Linked DNA regions of Drosophila melanogaster. The protein of the gene in region 1 interacts with the protein of each later gene in a pairwise test. Each region holds a gene or a part of one and is shown in the gene's direction. Other genes may lie near its edges. The genes, in order: CG17660, Cluap1 and RpL32.

Region 1 (7,672 bases):
CATTCGCCCACACGCTTTCCGAGGAGACGAAGGACGAGTTCAGCGATCAGGTGTACGATCTGAAGCGCCGCTTCTGCTTCTATCTGCTGCGGTGAGTTGAGCTCGTGTGAACATGCCACTTTTATGCTCAATCCTTTCGTTGCTTGCAGCAAAAACCTCTTCGCTGAGGCCTTCGAAATCGCCCAGGATGTGGCCGACTATGACATCTTCATGGACCTGTACAACCTAACCAAGTGCATCTCAAGCCTGAGTGAGTTCGCCCAGGTGGCCTTCAGTCAGGCAGCTGCCATAATCCACGAGGAAGATCGCGCCAACGGCAATCTCAGCCTGACCTGTGACCTGCGCTCGGAGTCGGCCTGTTCGCTGTCCACCTGCTCGGACATGTTGCGCGGTCAGGGAGCAGGAACTGCCCCCGAAACCGGACTAGGCGCAAGTCAGCCACAAAGCCAGCAGGTCCTGAAGAACTATGTGCCACCGCTGCCCTCGTTCAAGTCGAAGGTATTCAACGCTGAGATGATCAAGATCAACATACCGAAACCGGAACTGAGGCCGCCCTTGCCGAAGGTTTCAATAGCGCCGCCAACATCTTCGCTGGCGAGTCTAACCCTGAAGTCCAACAGTAGTCTGCAGCAGGCGCCCGCAAAGAGTCTGCATCCAAATGGTTCGTGTGAAGAAAATTCCCTTCATAACTTAAATAATTTATCCATTATTTCAGGCAATTTGTGGTCCCAGGACGTGCCGGATCAGACGGTGGGTCTGCCTATGGCTAGTAGTCCACTTCCTCGTCTTCCGCCTTCAAACATTCCAGATCAGAGCGCCCAGCTGGGTCAGTTCAGCACGATGCCAGCTTCGCCTCCGCCGACAGGGTCCTATCAGCCCAAGTTTTATCAACATCCGCTTGTCTCTGGCAATATTCCCGCCATGCTGCCATCGCTCACCAGCGAGGACTACCAGAAGCGCCTGCTGCAAAAGAAACCCACCGCATCCATATTGTCCAACCCGGCGAATCCAGCACCCACCAACGGAGAAGCACCCGCCACGCCCGCAAAGTCACAAACGGCCGAAAAGAACAAAGTCAAGTTCTCGGATACAATTCAAGTGGCGGTGGTGCCAGTGAGTTAACAAATCAATCGATGATGTGACAGTTTACTAATGCTCTTACTCGAACAGGAAATTCCTCGCAAGGAAAAGCCAATGCCACCCAAGAGAAATGGTTACTCCAGGCCCGCTGCGCGACATCTGACAAATCCTAAAAAGGAGCTCGCAGACAGCCTGCCGCTCTGTCATCCGAACGACGAGTATCTAAAGGATTTCAACCCCATTACGACCAGTGGGTATTTGTTGAGTTCACCAATAACCTTGCCCCATTGACCGTGTCATTTCTTCGCAGATGTGACTAAGCCGCCCATCCGACGACGCGAGGAAGAACCCAAGAGCAGCAGCAAGGGCGGCAACTCCTCCTCCTCCTCGTCGTCCATCAAGGTGGTCCACTTCGGCGTGGTCTAATAATTCATAGTGCAATTCCCAGGCGTACACCACACAACGGTTAAGCGCTGCGTCTTCCAATCGTTTGTAACTATTGTAGTAGGCTGCTCCTTCTACCCTCTTCCTTTACTCTTAGTCATACATACCTAATTATACATAGCCAATCTAGTCATAAGCTTATACACTCATACACCCATCCTTAACATACAAATATTATCGAGAAACTTATCGACTAATCGACTCGCCACTCTGCAGAGAGCGCGGCAGTCAGTCGCTGTTGAACCAAGCTAAAGGACAGATCAAAAATAAAAGAGACACGTGAAATTGTATTAGAATATTAACTTCTGTAAACGGCGGCTAAACTATTGCCGTCCCAGTTAGTGCAAAGCTTTAAATAGGAAAGTTTTACTCATAGGTTCTCTATACTCTTTACACAGGTTACTCATTAAAGCTAAGCATTAAATGTTTGCCAAATCGGAGGCGCCGCCTACTTCTTCCTGGTGGTGGTGGGTCCGCCCATGCGCTCCAGCTCGTCCTTCAGGTCGAGCAGCTCCTTGTCGGGCACGTAGCGCCGCTCCTCGCAGTCGTCGGTGTACTCCTGCACCTGCAAGCTCACACCCTCGGGCAGCGCCGCCTGGGCCAGGCGCAAGAACTGCGGATAGACTGGCGCATCCACATTGTTCAGCTGCAGGTTGCGCTCGTAGGTGGTCAGCTTGTACTCCGATTCGATGACCGTGGAGTTGGGCCGCAGTCGCTGCACCGTGGTCTTTTGCGGAGGGAGGGCGTAGCAGTCGGAGACGTCCAAGTCCAGGTACTCGGCCAATCCGTGCAGAAACCTCTGGTAGCTCTCCAGCTGCGGGTAGTCGTAGCCCTTGATCTGCACATTCAGGCTCTCGTACTGCGGGAATTTCGGCTTGAGGGACTGCAAACGGAGAACAATGGTTACTGACCACCAAAATAATTGCTCATCTAGTCTGATCTGATTGAAATCTGTCTACAAGATTATGCTACTATGCTCAAAGCAAGTAATATTTAAAAAGGGGTTAAGATCCTTCCTTCTCAGTTGAGGACCCACCTCCAGGTAATCCGGTTCGTAAACACTTCCACTGGTGCTCCTCACGGCTGTTGTGGTTGCTTTGGGCACCTGCAGCGCCAGCCGCACACTTGGCAGTATCTAGCACAGTGGGAAAATGAAATTGTAATAGATAATTTAATAGATATTTTCAGCTATTTACCCTGCGTAGCATTTTGCTGTTTTTAATTCTCCAATTCAGGTTATATCACCAGCTGATGGCGTGCAGCCACACTGTTGCCGGCTCCATGGTCACACTGGCTCAAGCGTCAGATAGGCTCGGCAAGTGTTATCGAAGAACGATAGGCCCGATAAGTTCGGACGAGTAGAAGAGGAAATAATATTTGTATTTACTTAAGCCCATTGTACGCACACACAACTCGAAATGCAGGGATCGGCCACGCTGTTGGTGGTTGCGTTGGCCTTGCTACTTGGCCCGGCGAGCACGGCCGGGAAATCGGATCCGGGCATGGTGGACGTGCTGGTGACCACGGTAAATATGTGCACCACCACCACAGCCCCAAACAAATAGGGGAATTAGAATTAATCCTTTTCCGGCTACGTAACAACTGGTTTGTCCTCTTCTCTCCCACACAGGACTTGCCCAGCATCCGGGAGCAGCGTCCGCTGCTGGCCAACACAAAAATCTACGCGCAGAGTAAGTACAGGCGGCGGAAAACGCGTGACGAATGCCTCCGACTTACCCCTTTCTTCCACACCTGTTTCAATGGTTCCAGTTAAGGGCTGCACTTCCAATGTGGAATCGAACCTGACCATTACGTTCCGGCTGACGGAGCACCCCTGCATCTTTGATGACCGCACGGTGAGTACAACGTTTCCATATGGCTCAGTGACCATTTAATCCCATCAATCTTGTATCCCCAAACAGCTGCAGGCCATCGCCCAGAATGCTACCCTGCAGAAGAACGCCACCATCAATAACGTCATCACCGAGATCACCAGGACATATCCCTGCAACGGACTCATCGTCCTGGCGATAAACAAGGACAAGGTGGTCGAAGGATCAGCGATCCCAACACCGGAGCCAAAGCATCCAATGCTGGAGCACAAGCACCCACTTTCGGTAAATGCGACATATATCAACGATAAGTAGAAGCACAGCAATTACCACGGGCCAGCAAAGCATTTTCGGCTTTTTCCTTATCAGCTTATCGTTTCTCTTTAAACAGGGTATTCCCTAGATAGGTGGGGCATACTGTTTATAGAGCCAGCTTGAAACATTTACAGGCATTTGTGCCATTTTATTGAATGGAATGGTCTACTCGGTATCAGGTTTTCTTATATATGTATAATGAAGCAGGAACACTGAGATAACGCAGTAATTGAACCACTTCCGTTTCCTTATAGCCCACAACGAACCCAATTGCGAGCGTCAAGGAGGATGGCATTTACGAAATCGAAGTTAACATCGCGGCGGGCCCATCCGCGCAGTTCAGTGCCGTGGTGCACATAGAGTTCCTGGGCCCACACGGCTTCATCTCGGCCATAGATTGGCCATTCCTGCCGGTAGGGGTCGAGTGTGTTTCTAAATGACTTTGTTTATACATAATCATGTATATGTTTATTTTCCCACAGTTCTATCTGATCATGTGCATTGTTTACGTGATATTTGGAATTATTTGGCTGTTTGTTTCTTTCGCGCAATGGCGGGATCTTTTGAGAATTCAATTCTGGATCGGTGGCGTCATACTGCTGGGAATGCTAGAGAAGGCCTTCTTCTACGCCGAATACCAAACGCTGACGAACAAGGGTGTTGCAGTTCAGCACGCCGAACTGGTGGCCGAGTTTGTGTCCTGTGCGAAGCGCACGCTGGCCAGGATGCTGGTCATCATCATGAGTCTCGGCTTTGGCATTGTCAAGTGAGTGAGCGCTTTTGATTAGAAACAGAAGGGCCATTAAACTGCCGCCTGCAGCTGTTTATAGTTATAGTTATAGCTTACTCTAAAGCAGTTGCTGCTATTGACCGAACCACTTAAGCGTTAATTTACTCAATCTATTCCAGACCCCGTTTGGGACCCATGCTGCATCGCGTGGTGGGCGTGGGAACCCTCTACTTTGTGCTGGCCTGCGTGGAGAGCTACTTGCGTATCACCAATGTGAAGACCGATCGCAGCGAGCTGCTGGTGGCGAGCATTCCACTGGCGGTGCTGGACACAGGAATATGCTGGTGGATATTCACCTCGCTCGTGCAGACAACTCGCACTCTCCGACTGAGGAGGTGACTAATGCCAATGATGAAATCTCAACACATGCGCTAACAATGTGTACCTTTTCCAGGAATATGGTCAAGCTCTCACTGTACAGGCACTTCACCAACACGCTGATCTTCGCTGTTATCGCTTCCGTCATATTCATGCTGTTTGCTTTGCGTTTGCGTAGGGTCGAGAATTGCACGCCTGTAAGTTGTTGATTAGCATGAATGGAGCTGCGAACAGGGGTTTGCTGATTTCGTGTTTTTTTTTTAGGGCTGGCGCGACATTTGGGTGGATACTGGCTTTTGGCACATTTTGTTTTCGGTTCTGCTGCTGGTGATTATGATTCTATGGCGACCGACGAATAACAACCAGCGCTATGCCTTCACTCCGCTGCTGGATAACCCGGAAGACGAAGACGATGAGGGTAAGTTAGAACCCGAACTTCTGCTGCAAACAAGGACTAATTGACTCCTTAACTTTTGGCAGACGAGGAGGATCAGTTCGTCGCGGATGCCTACGGCGTGAAAATGCGCGGCCAGAATGGAACGCCGAAAACGTCGACGACTTCACGAAATGCCACGACCACCGAGGAAGACGACCTGCGCTGGGTGGAGGAGAACATACCGTCTTCGATGGCGGACTCGGCGTTGCCCATCCTGGACTCCGATGAGGAAATCATCAACACCAAGTTCGAGGTGTCGAAAATGCAATAAGCTGTGACTTTCGCTGGACCGAAGAGACTTTTTACGCATATTTTTGCACATTTTCACGCAACCGTGTCTCCCGCCAGCAGCTATGTATTTTTTAGTTCTATCCGCCATTGAGGAGGAAAACCCCTTATTGCTGCGCTGCGCTGACACTGATCTTCCAATTTCGAGAACCGTCTGTCCGGCCACGCCTTCTGAGCCCGTGTAAAATAATGTATGTAATCGTAGTTCCTTCTACGCGCACGTCCTCCCCCCCTCTAAATAAACCTAACTTATTCATAATACCTAGCCTAAGTTGTAGATACCTATGCGACGATCCGAGAACTTAATTTAAAAACTTCGACTTGAATTCTTGTGCTGCTGCCCCTAACTACACTCGCAAAGGTGTATGAGTGAGCTGTTGGTGGTCGCCTCATTGTATGTATATAGCTGGTAACACAAGACGAAACGATCTATATAAATCTACGAGTATATTCTGTAATAACTATGATAAAACGCGACTATGCAAAGATTAAAAGTAATTGTCTAAGTAAGCACACAATCGTTTGCGTCACACACCTCAAGGTATTTAATTACATATTTTTAATCAAACGGTCTCCGATTTTCATAAATAAATGCAAACGTATCTTAAAGGTAGCCATGAACCAAACTCGCCATGTTTTTCTTTAGTCCTTATCTAACTAGCTTATGATATGATATGTCGTGACTAAAAGTAGAATATGGTATACATCGATGGAGTGATGTGTAGTAGTTTATTTTATATATCTTATCTTTTGCGATAATATGATGTTTTCCCCCAATGAAACCACTTCTAGTTGTAATTCAATATTTATTAGTTTCTTTGTATAAAATTTCTCTTGCCTTCCAAATTTCAGTTAAAAAATATTAAGTAAAGAAGAAAGGTAATGTGCATTTCCTCAGATAATACAATCACAAAGCGATTTCAGTTAATATTTTGCTTCGAGCGCCTTACTGTTAGATTACACACAAACACAAAGTTACAATTAATAAACACAATATTTATTCGCGGAAGGATTAAGAACGAAACGCAAGTGCCTCGACTTCGGTGCAAATATGCATTATTACAAATAAGATACAAATACTTATGGATACTGTCTTGAGGGCGGCGAAGTTGGCATTTTCGGCTGAACTCTGGATGAAGCGCGACTCCAAACGGCAACAATGTGGGAGGACAGTTGAAACGGGCGGGCAAAATTTACATTAATGTGCTTCTCGTGGTGTAACAATTTTCTCATGTAACAAATTTACTGCCTAGAAATGCGTATTTAATATTTTTTAGTCAGCTCTTTAGTCCAGTCCAAGCGGAGTCCTCCACGGAGCTGCTCAACACAATTGGGCGAGTAACAGCGAATTGGGTGGGTGCAGCCGAAATATTATGAAAATTATTTATATTTATGACAATATTTAGTGGTGACAACAGTGCCTTGCAATTCGAATATTGCTGCGCTCTTCTTGGGAGCAGCCAGCTTGTGGGACGCCCCTGGACTGGATTGGTTTATGTGGAAATTCAGCCTTCAGCCGCTCAGTACTCAGTTCGATTCGGGCTTGACATTGCGTCGCAGGATTGCCGCTGCGAGGTCCTGCTTCATGGCCGCCTGCTGGCGCTGATCGGCCAGTGATTGTGTGCTCCTTAGTCCGTTCACGATGTCCTTGGTCTTGCCAAAGTAGATCTCGTTCAGGGTGTTCCTGATCTTGTTCTCCATCTCCTCGACCATCTTGCCAATGTTGGCGATGTGCGGCGACGACTCGCTGACGTTGGCGTCCTGCTCCTGCTGCCGGGTGAGGGATCCGCCCAGATTCATGGTTCCCGAACCCTGTTTGTTGGTCTGCAGCCAGAGCATTGCCGTGGAGGTGAGCTTGTAGTGGGCCGTCCTGCCGGTGGTCTTCTCCTGTACCTCGACCACATGGATGGAGTCCCAGCAGCCGCGGATCATCTTGCTGCCATCTCCCGCCTTTTTGATCAGTATAACGGCGGCAAACCCGTGATCCAGATCCCATAGGTAGACGGAGGAGACGCCTCCCTCGTAGTACATCTCCCTGTACTGATCGAAGGCATAGTTCGCCTCGATTTCCAGTTTGCGCAGTCGTTCCGAGGGCATTTGGCCATCCTCCAGCGGCGGATAGTAGGAGTTCGACCAGGGCGATCTGTAGGAGTCCCCATCCCGGTTATA
Region 2 (6,270 bases), on another chromosome or scaffold:
TCATTTGGACCGGGGAGAAAATATGAGAATGTATCCGGACGCCGATTTATTGTTTCAGTTGCCAGTGGATTGATTGCCGGCATCAGATGGATGGCCAAGTACTGGGACGACAGTGGCTGCGAATCCAGCAGCTTGACCTTGTTCTCGACCTTTTTGCGCTTCGCCGGACCCTTAGCCAGGATATCGGTTTGGGTGCCAACCGAGCGGCAGTTGATGCGCTTAGTGAACTGCTCCACAGTCGCCACACTGCGTGATGCAATCCTCGAGATCCGTTTCCTTGGGGCCATAGCTGTGGTTATGACTATATGCAAACGTCTCTGAGAAAATAAGGTTAAAAGTAAGGTCACAACCTGATAGGGTTTGCTTTTAATATTTTTAATCTGTCAGTGGAAAAGAAAGGTGGAAACCCTACTAAGGCCAATCGGATAGGAACTTTTTCAATACATCACTCGTTAATTATATCAATATTTTATATATATTTTTCTTAACGCCTAACCTTTCAACGCAATGAAAACGGAAGTTTGAAAAAATATATGTACTCAACTTCCTATTGGCTGGGAAGCCCTCTTAACTGTCCAACGCTAAATTGTAGAGCTTCAATCAGCAGATACATACATACATACATATATGTATGTACAACACTTGCACCGATGAAAATCAAATAGAAAGCCTTTTTAAAAATTCGTTTTGGTATCCTTAAGTACATTTAAACATGTTGGTAAATGTAAACCTCTTATTTTACTTACATACTCTGTACATACCTGTGATGTTAAGATACAATATTATGATGTACGGATTCTTCACTTAATAAATAATAATTTAAAAAAAAACCTTACATACTCTTTTCCCATCACCTTTTTGCCGTGCATTGTATTCCAGTAGTTGCTGAGGAGATCTCCAGATTTATTTATTTGAACTCCTAATTTGAGGAATTTTATTTGGGTTGATCATTGATTAATAAGTCTATCATAAGCATGATCTGAAAATATATTTACATTCATATATTTTCTGATCATGCTTATGAACGAGAAAACTTGTAAATCTAACAAATTAAGCTGTCTGCCAATTTCACAGATAAATAACACCTGTTGAGAGCTCTTAGACTTCACACTATTACAATCAATCATTGATTTTTTTAGTTTCTTATACAAATAAATGTTATTGCACACACCATAGATACATATGTATGTGTAACGAGCGGGTTTTTGTCCAGAAATAATTTAACCATAACGAGATAGTCAATAACTAAACGGTATGATATCGATGCGAATAGAAGAGAAAAAAAGTTTGAAAATGCACGCAATAAGCAAAGCACGCGAAGTTTGTGAAAGCAATTGTAATTTCATAATGTTACTCAATTTTTGAGTACAAGGCCTCCAGCTACTGATCGGGTTTAAAATACATTTGTGTGCGCTATAAAATACAAAAAACAAAAACAGTTTGAGCACAACCCCTCAATTATTTAACTATCTGATACCCTAGTATCAGAATATGCGTAGCAAGACAAGGGAGAACGCTATGAATGAGTTCTCCGACTATCAGAAGATACACGTTAGTGGTTGGTTGGTTTTGGTATGTATTTATTCCTTATGCACCAAGACTATTACTTAGTAAAATCCGTATTCCCCATATTAAGCAAAACAAGAGTGTATGATATAATCGAGTTCCCCGACTATTAGATACTCATCGTTACTCAGCTAGTGGAAATGCGAATGGGAAATTTCATAATTTTTCTCGGATATCGATAGATATTGGGAAATAATATAATATTGGCAATTTAAAAGACTAATAATAATATGAAAAAGTATTAAAACATTTAGCAAACGTGTGGGCGTGACAGTTCTAGGCAGTTTGTGGGCGTTAGACTGGGCTTGGGAACATGGGCAACTGCACTGCGTCTACGTCTTTAGAATCTGTATGCTTCTTAACTTTCTTTTACCTTCTAGCTTTTATTGAAAAATAGATAGATTTCTGAGATCTCGACGTTCATACGGATGTCCGGCCGAACATGGATATATTGTATATTAGGAATATATATACAATATATGGTCGGAAACGCTTCCTTCTACCTGTTTCATAAGAATATTACTAAAAGGATATAACAAATTTAGTGCCGCTTTTAGGCATTTTGAATGTGCGCTTGTATGATTGAAACAGGGTTCATTCGACTTTTTAAATAAATAGAGTTTTATTTGGTTTTCATATCCATTAATTGTATAAAAACTAAAAAATTAGAAAATATAAATTCTTGATGAGGATCACAAGCGGAATCTTCCATCTGTCGATCAATATTAACTATAAGCTATATATGTACATATGTATATATGTATATACACTGTAAAAGCTAATGTGACACACACACAGCTCTAGTGTGTTTCAGAACGTCGTCTTGCCCACTATAACGCCCGCAAACTTCCCAAAATATCACACCATCGATAACCCAACAGAGTGTTGAATCTGTGCAATGATAAGTAAATTACAAGAACAATAAAGGATATATAGAAAAACTGAAATTTATGTGCCCAACAGGTCAATTTCAGTTGAGATAGTGGCGCCCTCTGTCGGGTATGCTTAATTTGTAAAAATCCCAATTATCGTATTTCAATAATTCGTTCTTAGCAACTCCTACATTTTTAATGGAATGGAAACCGCGCAACCGTTTCCCAGGTGAACCCCGTGCGACCGTCCACAGCAATCGAATGAATATTAGCCAAGGATAGCAGGGGGACACTGCGAGAAATTTCATATGGCAAGTGATAGTAACCTGTATTTGTTTAAGTATTAAAATAAAAAAACTAAAACCTATTTAAGTTAAAATTAATTTTATTTCGCTTTTATTTTCAGTTTCATGTATTGCTGTTTTTGAGAAATTTAGTACATATATCTTAATTCCTATTTTATGTAATATTTTCTTATTAAAATTCCGTTTAAAATTACCAACATTGTTGTTGACAATAATCTTAGTTTAATATTAATAATATATTTTAGAAATGGATCAATGTTTAGAGTTCGTTATCATATTTTCTCGCTATGCATTTTCCGTTACCTAGCAACCATCAATTTGGGATTCGGTGGCCCAAACAAAAGCTCCAACGACCACAACAAATGACGGTGTTGAAAATGCAATTGCCAGCGCAGCCGCAGCGATTGCAAGCAGCCAAAGAAAAACAGGTGAACTCGTTGGAAGCCAGGAATGTCCTTCAAGGATGTGCGAGGTGCGTACTGACTTCCTCCTCTTACTTCCTCCACCTAACACGACCAGACTGATACTCCACTTCCAGATCTGGGGGAACATCTTAAGCTGTTGGGGTTCCCGCGCGTGTTTCCCCTCCAATCCCTGGCCAATCAGCATGGCAGCCTGGCCAGTTTCCACATTGTTGCCGAGCTCCTTCAATGGCTAGCAGGACTAATAGAGCCAGGAGCCACTTTGCCCGGCGGCGTTGAATCGGAGGAGCAGCGGGTTCTTCTCGTCCGTTCGGCGACCGAGTTTTTTGTGACCAAGGCAGCCATTCGTATTAATCCCCGAAAACTGTATGCAGCCGCTGCGGTTACGGCGGCAGAGCTACAGAAGGTTACCCGACTCTTGACATCCCCAGGACAAAACGAAGCGGACAACGACGAAGAGGACCAAAGGGACCAGTACCGGAGCCTAAATCCCGTGGATATTGGCGATAAAATAGAGGAGTTGCGTAAGGCTCGAGAACTGGCCACAGACCTAACCCAGCGTGGCACAACCATATGCGAGATGCTTTCGAAGGAACTGCTCCACAAGGAATCGCTAATGTCCCAGGCCCAACGACCCCTGGAGCTGCTCAGCGTGGAGCGGACCCTGAAGAGCGCCATCCAAGCTAACCAAGTTCGCCTCCAATCGAGTAGAGCCCAACTGGAAGCAGCCAAGGTGGAGCTCAATGCTCTGGGATCAAAGCTGCAGCGCCGTCGGGCGGAGCTCGAGCGAACCCGCCAAAGACTGGAGGCACTGCATCGCATTCGACCAGCGCACATGGCCGAATTCGAGGACTGTGAGAAGGAGTTGCAGGAGCTATTCCAGCGCTACTTTCTCAGGCTGCATGTGCGCGATGCTCTAAAGTCCCAGCTGGACCTGCGTACTAAACGTGCCACACCTATCTCCTCACCCATTCTGCAAAAGCCCGCCGAGAACTCAATGCCCTTCATCCCGGAGGGACTCATCGAGGACGACGATGACGACGACGACGAGGACGATCTGGATGACGAGGATGAGGGCGATGATGGCGGCAAAGCACTTTCCCGTCTCGAAATGGTGGTCAATGGCAGGAGTGTCTTCGGCCTGGACTCAGAGATACCCGACATACGGGACGAGGACAAACTAATGCAACAAAACAACATGGTTTCCGCCCAGGGAAAACGTCCTGGTACCGCCACCTCCAGGATTAGACCCACAACGGGTAGAAGCAGGAAGGCAGTAGGAGGTAAGGAAGTTCTAATTTCACAAACTTATTTCCCTGCTCAAATAACGAAAATCCCAGGAAGAGGCACAGCCGGCCCGGATGGTGGTAATGATGCCAGGGCAGCCCGCGGCACCAGGAGAGGTGTTGCGACTGGAGGAGACGCCGATGGCACCCAGCTAAACGGCCGCAACGGACCCGGCAGCAGTATGCTCAACTCCCGGGACGAAGACAGCAGCTTCGGGAGCTCCGAAAGCGAACTGGATGTGGGTAAAATCATGGGCATGAGCGGAATGAGCGGAATGAGTGGCATGAGCGCTATCAGCGGGATAAGTGGGATGAGCAATATTGCCTTGGGAGCCGGCGATGATGATTGTAAGTCGTGTAGTTACGCCTTGAACTTATAACAAAACTTTACCTCATTCACCCCTAGTTGATCTGAACTCGATCGATGACATAAGCATTTCAAAGTTAACTGGCGAACTGCCACTTAGACCGAAGACCGCCAATAAAGCGGAGCATCACAGCGATGAGGATTTCTAGGGATAACTACAATATTTATATTTATTTGCTAATTTTATAAACTCAGCCAGAGGGCAGACAGGTTGTAAAAAGTAAATAAAATATTCCCATCAAGCAATTAAAAGATTTCTTTCCACGTCACAATCAAATACGTCACCGTCTCGCAAATAGACGGCCTTAGGGTTCCGGTTCCTGCAGTAACACGAATTGTCTGGCGATATGGTGACTAGTATGATGAGCAATCAAAGTGTAGTCAAAGATGGATTTCTGCATGTACATAGGTAAGTGGGACTGTGCAAGTCAAAGCATAGCCAGGATCCCTAACTAAGTACATCGTTATCTGTATGACTTTAGCTAATCTATTCCTCCAAGAAGCGAGATATAAATTAAATTTGCTTTTGTAGATACGTTATAATCAGTTAATTCAATGCTCGAATAATTGAAATAGTTTGCTTAATATATCTTTATTCGATTAATTTTAATGTGTCTTAAGAGCTATACGCATATGTAAGTACATTGATAGAGTAATGGATATAAAAGGGGTAATTTATCAGACAAAGCCCCACATAGATGGGATTTCGTTGTGGCTCCGTAAAAAAAATATATACAAAAGTCTGGGAAACTGGGAACTAGAGAGCGGATGCTTTTCCCGTCACATCACCACATCCCGGCAAACGATCTTCGTTTTGAAGGATGCCCTCTGACCGCCGTACAAGTCCGAGGAGGCAGACGACGAATAGTCGACGTGACTGCCCGCCTGTGACTGTTCTTGCCTGGCCAAAAAGCTATCAGCTATGGCTCGATCTAGACCCGTATACTGGAAATTGGGAGCACCGTCCAGGACATCCGCTTCCGATTTTCGGCGCTGCCGGCGATTGGCATCAGACTTTCCCGCCCGCCGCCGTCTTCGCTGCCCATTGATCTCCGCTGACTTTGTGCTCTTGTGAGTCCGGTATGTCCCGCTTAGGCTAGCCGGGTGGGCGTAGGTCACGGATCCGGGCCCAGGTCGCATGTAGGGAAGGGTCATTCCACGGTACTGCGCCGGCAGCGGGGGCACGGGAAGCAGAAGTCCAGCTCTGGCGCCCGGAGGCGGAGGTGGCAAGCGTGTGGGCGGTGGTGGTGCCATCTGAATATAGTTATTAGAACAAAAATTGTATTTAAAATTTCAGCAAAATTTATTTGTTAAAAATTCAATATTTCAAAGTAAACTTATCTTTTCTTTCTATGTAGGAAACGAATAAGAAACTTAAATAAAAACTTCAAATTGGGTTTAAACGCACCCGAAATATTCGGTTTCAACAGCCGGAGCTTGGTTCATATTTAT
Region 3 (5,132 bases), on another chromosome or scaffold:
GCGTGGCCGGCGTCAGCCGCTCGGCCAGCCTGTGCCTGGCCTATCTAATGAAGCACGCCGGGATGAGCTTGCGCGAGGCCTACAAGCATGTGCAGGCCATACGTCCGCAGGTTCGCCCGAACTCCGGATTCTTCCAGCAGCTGCGACGGTACGAGCAACAGCTGCGGGGCAGCAGCTCGGTGGCCATGGTGTACTTCGCCTCGCTGGACAAGGAGATCCCCGACATACTGGAGCCCGAGTACAGGGCCATGGAGGACTTCTACCAGCGCTACCGCAGCTCCCTCAAGAGGCGATAGGCCCGTTGTGCCGCAATTAATCTTACTTGTGATACTCGTACCCTACCACTAGCCTTAGATTAGATGTTTAAGTTGTGTGTGCTTAATGATAATGAAATGAAATGCTGAAACTTACATAAGATGTACGCTTAAGCCTCGTTCGTAATTACAAATACACTTTTATTTTCGTTTAAGAACATTGAATCTACCGCGTTAATTAATCAGTTGTAGTATCTTCAATCAATCACAAAGTTATTGGCGAACACAAACAACACACTCGTATTATATCGCACATCATCTAGTATTATTTACACGTACACGAAAAGTAGCTAACTAAACCGTAACTCGAAGATTGGGTACCTTTAAATGCTCACGTTGTATTGTACTTGGCATCCGCGAGGCGAATTGAATAGATCTACAGGTATACAGATATACAGATATGAGTAGGAGGAGCAGGCGACCTCCGCTTGGGATGCGTGTATGTACATTAACACCTAGAATTCAGCATCTGTGCACAAGCGACTTAGGCGAGACTTAAATCGAACGAAATAATTGGCTAGCTAAAGGCAGAAGTAACCGTTTGTGTACAATCAGCTAAGTTAACTCTAGTTCTACTCAGAGGCCAGTGGCAACGGCGGCTGCTGCTGCATTAGTTTCTTTAGGTTTTCGTACGCCGTATTCATGATGCCCCAGCTGATGAAGGAGCGGCCTGTGTTGAAGGGGCATCCGCGATAGAAGTTGCCAATGCGGCGATCGCGCTCTACGTAAATTCGCTTGCACGCCTGCCAGCTGCCCTCAGACCTCTGGCCCATCTCACTCTGCAGCGACACCTTGATCACATTGAGCGGGTAGAATATTGTGCTTATGCTCGCACCGATCACGGCGCCCGCTATGAACTCCTGCACTGTTCGAGTGGATACGGATTTCTGTGGATGGGCAACGGATTGGTTAGTATCTTAGTAGGTTCGTATGTGTGATAGGGTCAACACTCACTCTCTTAGGCAGCCGGACGCTGGCCTCTTCTCGCAGTACGAAAAATAACGCGTTGGACAGGCCGTTGCGCCAAAATACTGGTTCGAGTCCCCTGTAGAGCTCCCGGTAGCCGTGGTGGGAAACCACATACCTGTGGAATGATTAAAAGCCATAAGAAGATCCCATTAGCAAACTTAAAGATCCGTCAGCTCACCTGAATGCGTTTTGTGTGTTGGAGAAGTGCTGGTGGAACTTGGAGTCCGCGAGGAGGGTTTGCACCCGTTCGAAGGGCAGGAGGATGGACTCGGCGCTGCCGGCCACCACGGCCGCTAGCACCTTGGCCCCGTAGTCGTTCAGGCGGTAGTCCTCCACGAGGTACCTCCTCGTCCCGTCGAACACACCGAACATGATGGACAGGGATATGGTCTTCTGGGCGAGCGGCGGCAGCATGCCGCGGTACAGGAAGCCCAGTCCCTCGTGACGCAGCTGTGCAAAGGCCGAGGTGATGGGCACGCCGTGCAGCATCTGACGGAAGATCATCTTGTAGATGGGATAGGTGACCGCGATGTTGACGAAGGCTGCTCCGCAGCCGCAGGCGAACTCCTCCCACTGAAAGGAGCCGAAGAAGCGCTTCGAGAAGACGCTGCCATGCAGCAGTTTCCCCGCCTCCCCGTCTCCATGTGGGCTGTGTGCTCTTCCGGATGGAAACCTTTTAGGGGGCGGTGGGTCGGTGGTTTTCGCGACGTTTGGTGCTCCATCGTCTTTCATCTTGCTGCTGTCCTGTGTTTATTTCGGGCGTGTGGAGAAGTGCGCATTTGTCACCGCGTTACCATTGTAACTATTCAAACACGGGGATTGCGCTGGTTTGGTTTGTTTTGGTTTCGATTCGCATCGGTTTTAATTATATAATAATGAAGAAGAACCACGGTTTGACGGCCACGGCCAGTGTGACCGTCGCTGGACCTCTGCTGCATACCAAAGGACTCTGTTATCCAAATTGTTCACAAGCCAACCAAAATTAATTGTCGAACTTAAATTAGCAGCGGCGGCTTTGAGTTTTGTACTCGCCCTTTTCGGTAATTTACAAACTTAATATAACACCGTATAATTAAAATATTCTTAGCAGTGCGTTTAACAGCACTGTCACTTTATTTTGACCGAATCACCCTGTGTACTTGTTCCACTGACGCAAAGACCACCCTATGGATCAGAAACTTATCATGTGCTGGTATGCATTGGGTGCTCTAAATCCACGACTTGGATGCTTTTGTATTAGCCTCCTAAACCTCGGGAACACCTGCTCCTTGATCGCTTCTGTCAGCTTTTTACTTTTTCATTCCCAGCTTTCTTATCGTTTTTTATCAGATGACGGTGCTGCAAAACATCTATTGAACAGCTGTTGCATCCAGTGTGTAAATGAAATATGTTCACACTGCACAGTGGGTCAAGAGGCAAAGCATATTTAATTATATAACAAACTCCACCAAGCTGAAAATAGTTCCATATTTTGTTGCACATAGTTGCAATCGTCGCAGTTGCTCGGATAGTGATTAAACCTGCAACACCTTATTTGACGCGCCCAAGTTTAAATTCATTACACGATGATCCGCAATATATCGCTTGGCATCGCCATGAACGAAACTATCGGCGAATCATCGACGCACGACGTATCGATGTTTTTTCACACCACCAGCTTTTTCTTTTCGCTTCTGGTTTCCGGCAAGGTATGTGCGTGATTTTGGGCCCACGTGTATTTCCATTAATTTTAAGCCGTAATTGTCGTTTTTGGCGGTTTCGAGTTGAACTGCGTTAGTCCGTGCGCTGTTCGCAAGTGTGCGGCTCGTATTTCGACCGAATTCGGATCGATTCCTGTGAGAGTTCGCCAAATGGCTTCTGTTTGTGATGGGAATTCGTGGGGCGACACACCGGAAACTCAATGGATACTGCCCAAGAAGCTAGCCCAACCTGGTTGAATTATGCATTAGTGGGACACCTTGTGTGTTATTAGCTTGATAAGTGATATTTCCAGTGGGTCAGTGCACTAATGGCTACTTTTGTTGTGTCCTTCCAGCTTCAAGATGACCATCCGCCCAGCATACAGGCCCAAGATCGTGAAGAAGCGCACCAAGCACTTCATCCGCCACCAGTCGGATCGATATGCTAAGCTGTCGGTGAGTGCCAACGAGGATTGTGCCAAATTGTACCCGTGTTTAATCAACATGTCTCCTTGCAGCACAAATGGCGCAAGCCCAAGGGTATCGACAACAGAGTGCGTCGCCGCTTCAAGGGACAGTATCTGATGCCCAACATCGGTTACGGATCGAACAAGCGCACCCGCCACATGCTGCCCACCGGATTCAAGAAGTTCCTGGTGCACAACGTGCGCGAGCTGGAGGTCCTGCTCATGCAGAACCGCGTTTACTGCGGCGAGATCGCCCACGGCGTCTCCTCCAAGAAGCGCAAGGAGATTGTCGAGCGCGCCAAGCAGCTGTCGGTCCGCCTCACCAACCCCAACGGTCGCCTGCGTTCTCAAGAGAACGAGTAAGCTTAAGATTCTTGAGAGTTCTTGTAACGTGGTCGGAATACACATTTGTAAACGTTAATATACCGGACTTTTAGTTAAAAAATGATGTGCGAGTGCCGAGTTCAATTGTCATTTCTGAGATTGGGATAGCAGCACCATTGATAACATGTGCATTATCTGGATGGATATCAGTTAATCCAGACCATTGCGGTCTTTCTTTCTGATAGCAACTGCCTCGAGATATTAGACCAATATAAATTCCTTGACGTGCCAAAACTAGACAGCATCAATCCTTATCAGGGAATTTTGTTATATATTTTACATTTTTCCCCCTTAGTATTGAAAGAGGTTGTTTATATGAAATCATATATATATTCGCAATTATTTTTACAGAACAGTGTACAATTATTATCGGAAATGCTTCTGTCTAAATGAAACGCAGTAATTGAAATACCAGTAAATTATATTTTGTAGGAATCTACAATAATCAAGTACAAAGAGGAGGAAATACACTAGGGAAAGATAAACAATTACTTATTGTAGGCAATGTAGCTTATTTCAAGACCACGTCGTGATCAAATTGCAAGTGGTGTTCGAGCTCCTTCTTGTTCTCGAAGTTGGTATTGCAAATGAGACAGAAGCCGCTGTTCTCATCGTTGTCGGACATGATGACGGTGACGGCCGCCTCCGATTCGTCGACGTCCACATGCAGCTCCTCCACCACCTGCTGCTCGTCGGCGGGCGCCTCCTCGCGAACCCCGTAAACGACGTCGCCCTCGTGGGTCTTCATGTGCATCTTGAGGGTGTAGCGCTCGGTGAAGGACTTGGGGCAGACGGAGCAGTAGTGTCTTGGGCGGTTCTCCTTGTGAATGAGCGTGTGATGGTTGAAGGTCTTGCGCGACTTGAACGACACATTGCAGATGCTGCATATGATGGGGTTCTCCTCAGCCTCGTGGCGCAGCCGGTGGTTGTAGAGTAGGTTGTCCTGGGAGAACCTCAGGCCGCACTTCTCGCACTGGTACTTCTTCTTGTCCCAGTGCATGCGCATGTGGCGCAGGGTGTTCACCGGGCGCGAGAAGCTCTTGGGGCAGTAGCGGCATTGCTTTTCCGTCTTGCCCTCGTGCAGATTCATGTGCAGCTCCAAGTACTCCTCGTCGCGCCGGATCACCCCGCAGATGGGGCAGATGTGGTTGGGCTGCTTGGAGTGCTCCTCGCTGATGTGCTTCTGCAGTTGATACCAGGAGTTGTACACCTTGCCGCAGGTAGTGCACTCCTGCTTGACGCGCTTCTTCGTCGGCCTGTCCTCGCCATCGGAGGACTTGCCATACAGGGCCTCGGAGTCGCCCACATCCACGTCCTCG

Evidence for each region.
Region 2: the proteins of CG17660 (region 1) and Cluap1 interact in a two-hybrid assay, tested with the Drosophila melanogaster proteins (one large-scale study listed by BioGRID).
Region 3: the proteins of CG17660 (region 1) and RpL32 interact in a two-hybrid assay, tested with the Drosophila melanogaster proteins (one large-scale study listed by BioGRID).

What each region holds. Positions count from the first base shown.
Region 1 is NT_033779.5:1,705,586-1,713,257, reverse strand, and holds CG17660 (uncharacterized protein), read left to right. Parts: upstream 1-2,836; 5' UTR 2,837-2,942; coding exon 2,943-3,050; intron 3,051-3,154; coding exon 3,155-3,215; intron 3,216-3,294; coding exon 3,295-3,380; intron 3,381-3,446; coding exon 3,447-3,641; intron 3,642-3,925; coding exon 3,926-4,084; exon of another isoform or gene 4,085-4,153; coding exon 4,154-4,437; exon of another isoform or gene 4,438-4,448; intron 4,449-4,518; exon of another isoform or gene 4,519-4,580; coding exon 4,581-4,796; exon of another isoform or gene 4,797-4,806; intron 4,807-4,855; coding exon 4,856-4,976; intron 4,977-5,043; coding exon 5,044-5,197; intron 5,198-5,259; coding exon 5,260-5,486; 3' UTR 5,487-6,126; downstream 6,127-7,672. Other genes in the region: frtz (fritz), read left to right, coding at 1-91, 150-661, 716-1,113, 1,171-1,330, 1,391-1,506; mRpL48 (mitochondrial ribosomal protein L48), read right to left, coding at 1,973-2,407, 2,561-2,659, 2,721-2,732; cpb (capping protein beta), read right to left, coding at 7,031-7,672.
Region 2 is NC_004354.4:22,541,147-22,547,416, reverse strand, and holds Cluap1 (clusterin associated protein 1), read left to right. Parts: upstream 1-3,094; 5' UTR 3,095-3,193; coding exon 3,194-3,215; intron 3,216-3,281; coding exon 3,282-4,448; intron 4,449-4,505; coding exon 4,506-4,799; intron 4,800-4,857; coding exon 4,858-4,967; 3' UTR 4,968-5,031; downstream 5,032-6,270. Other genes in the region: CG17601 (uncharacterized protein), read right to left, coding at 1-287; CG17600 (uncharacterized protein), read right to left, coding at 5,599-6,072.
Region 3 is NT_033777.3:30,043,973-30,049,104, reverse strand, and holds RpL32 (ribosomal protein L32), read left to right. Parts: upstream 1-2,964; 5' UTR 2,965-3,183; coding exon 3,184-3,215; exon of another isoform or gene 3,216-3,243; intron 3,244-3,318; coding exon 3,319-3,418; intron 3,419-3,480; coding exon 3,481-3,792; 3' UTR 3,793-3,876; downstream 3,877-5,132. Other genes in the region: CG15528 (uncharacterized protein), read left to right, coding at 1-296; CG7943 (uncharacterized protein), read right to left, coding at 887-1,201, 1,269-1,398, 1,462-2,015; Sry-delta (serendipity delta), read right to left, coding at 4,325-5,132.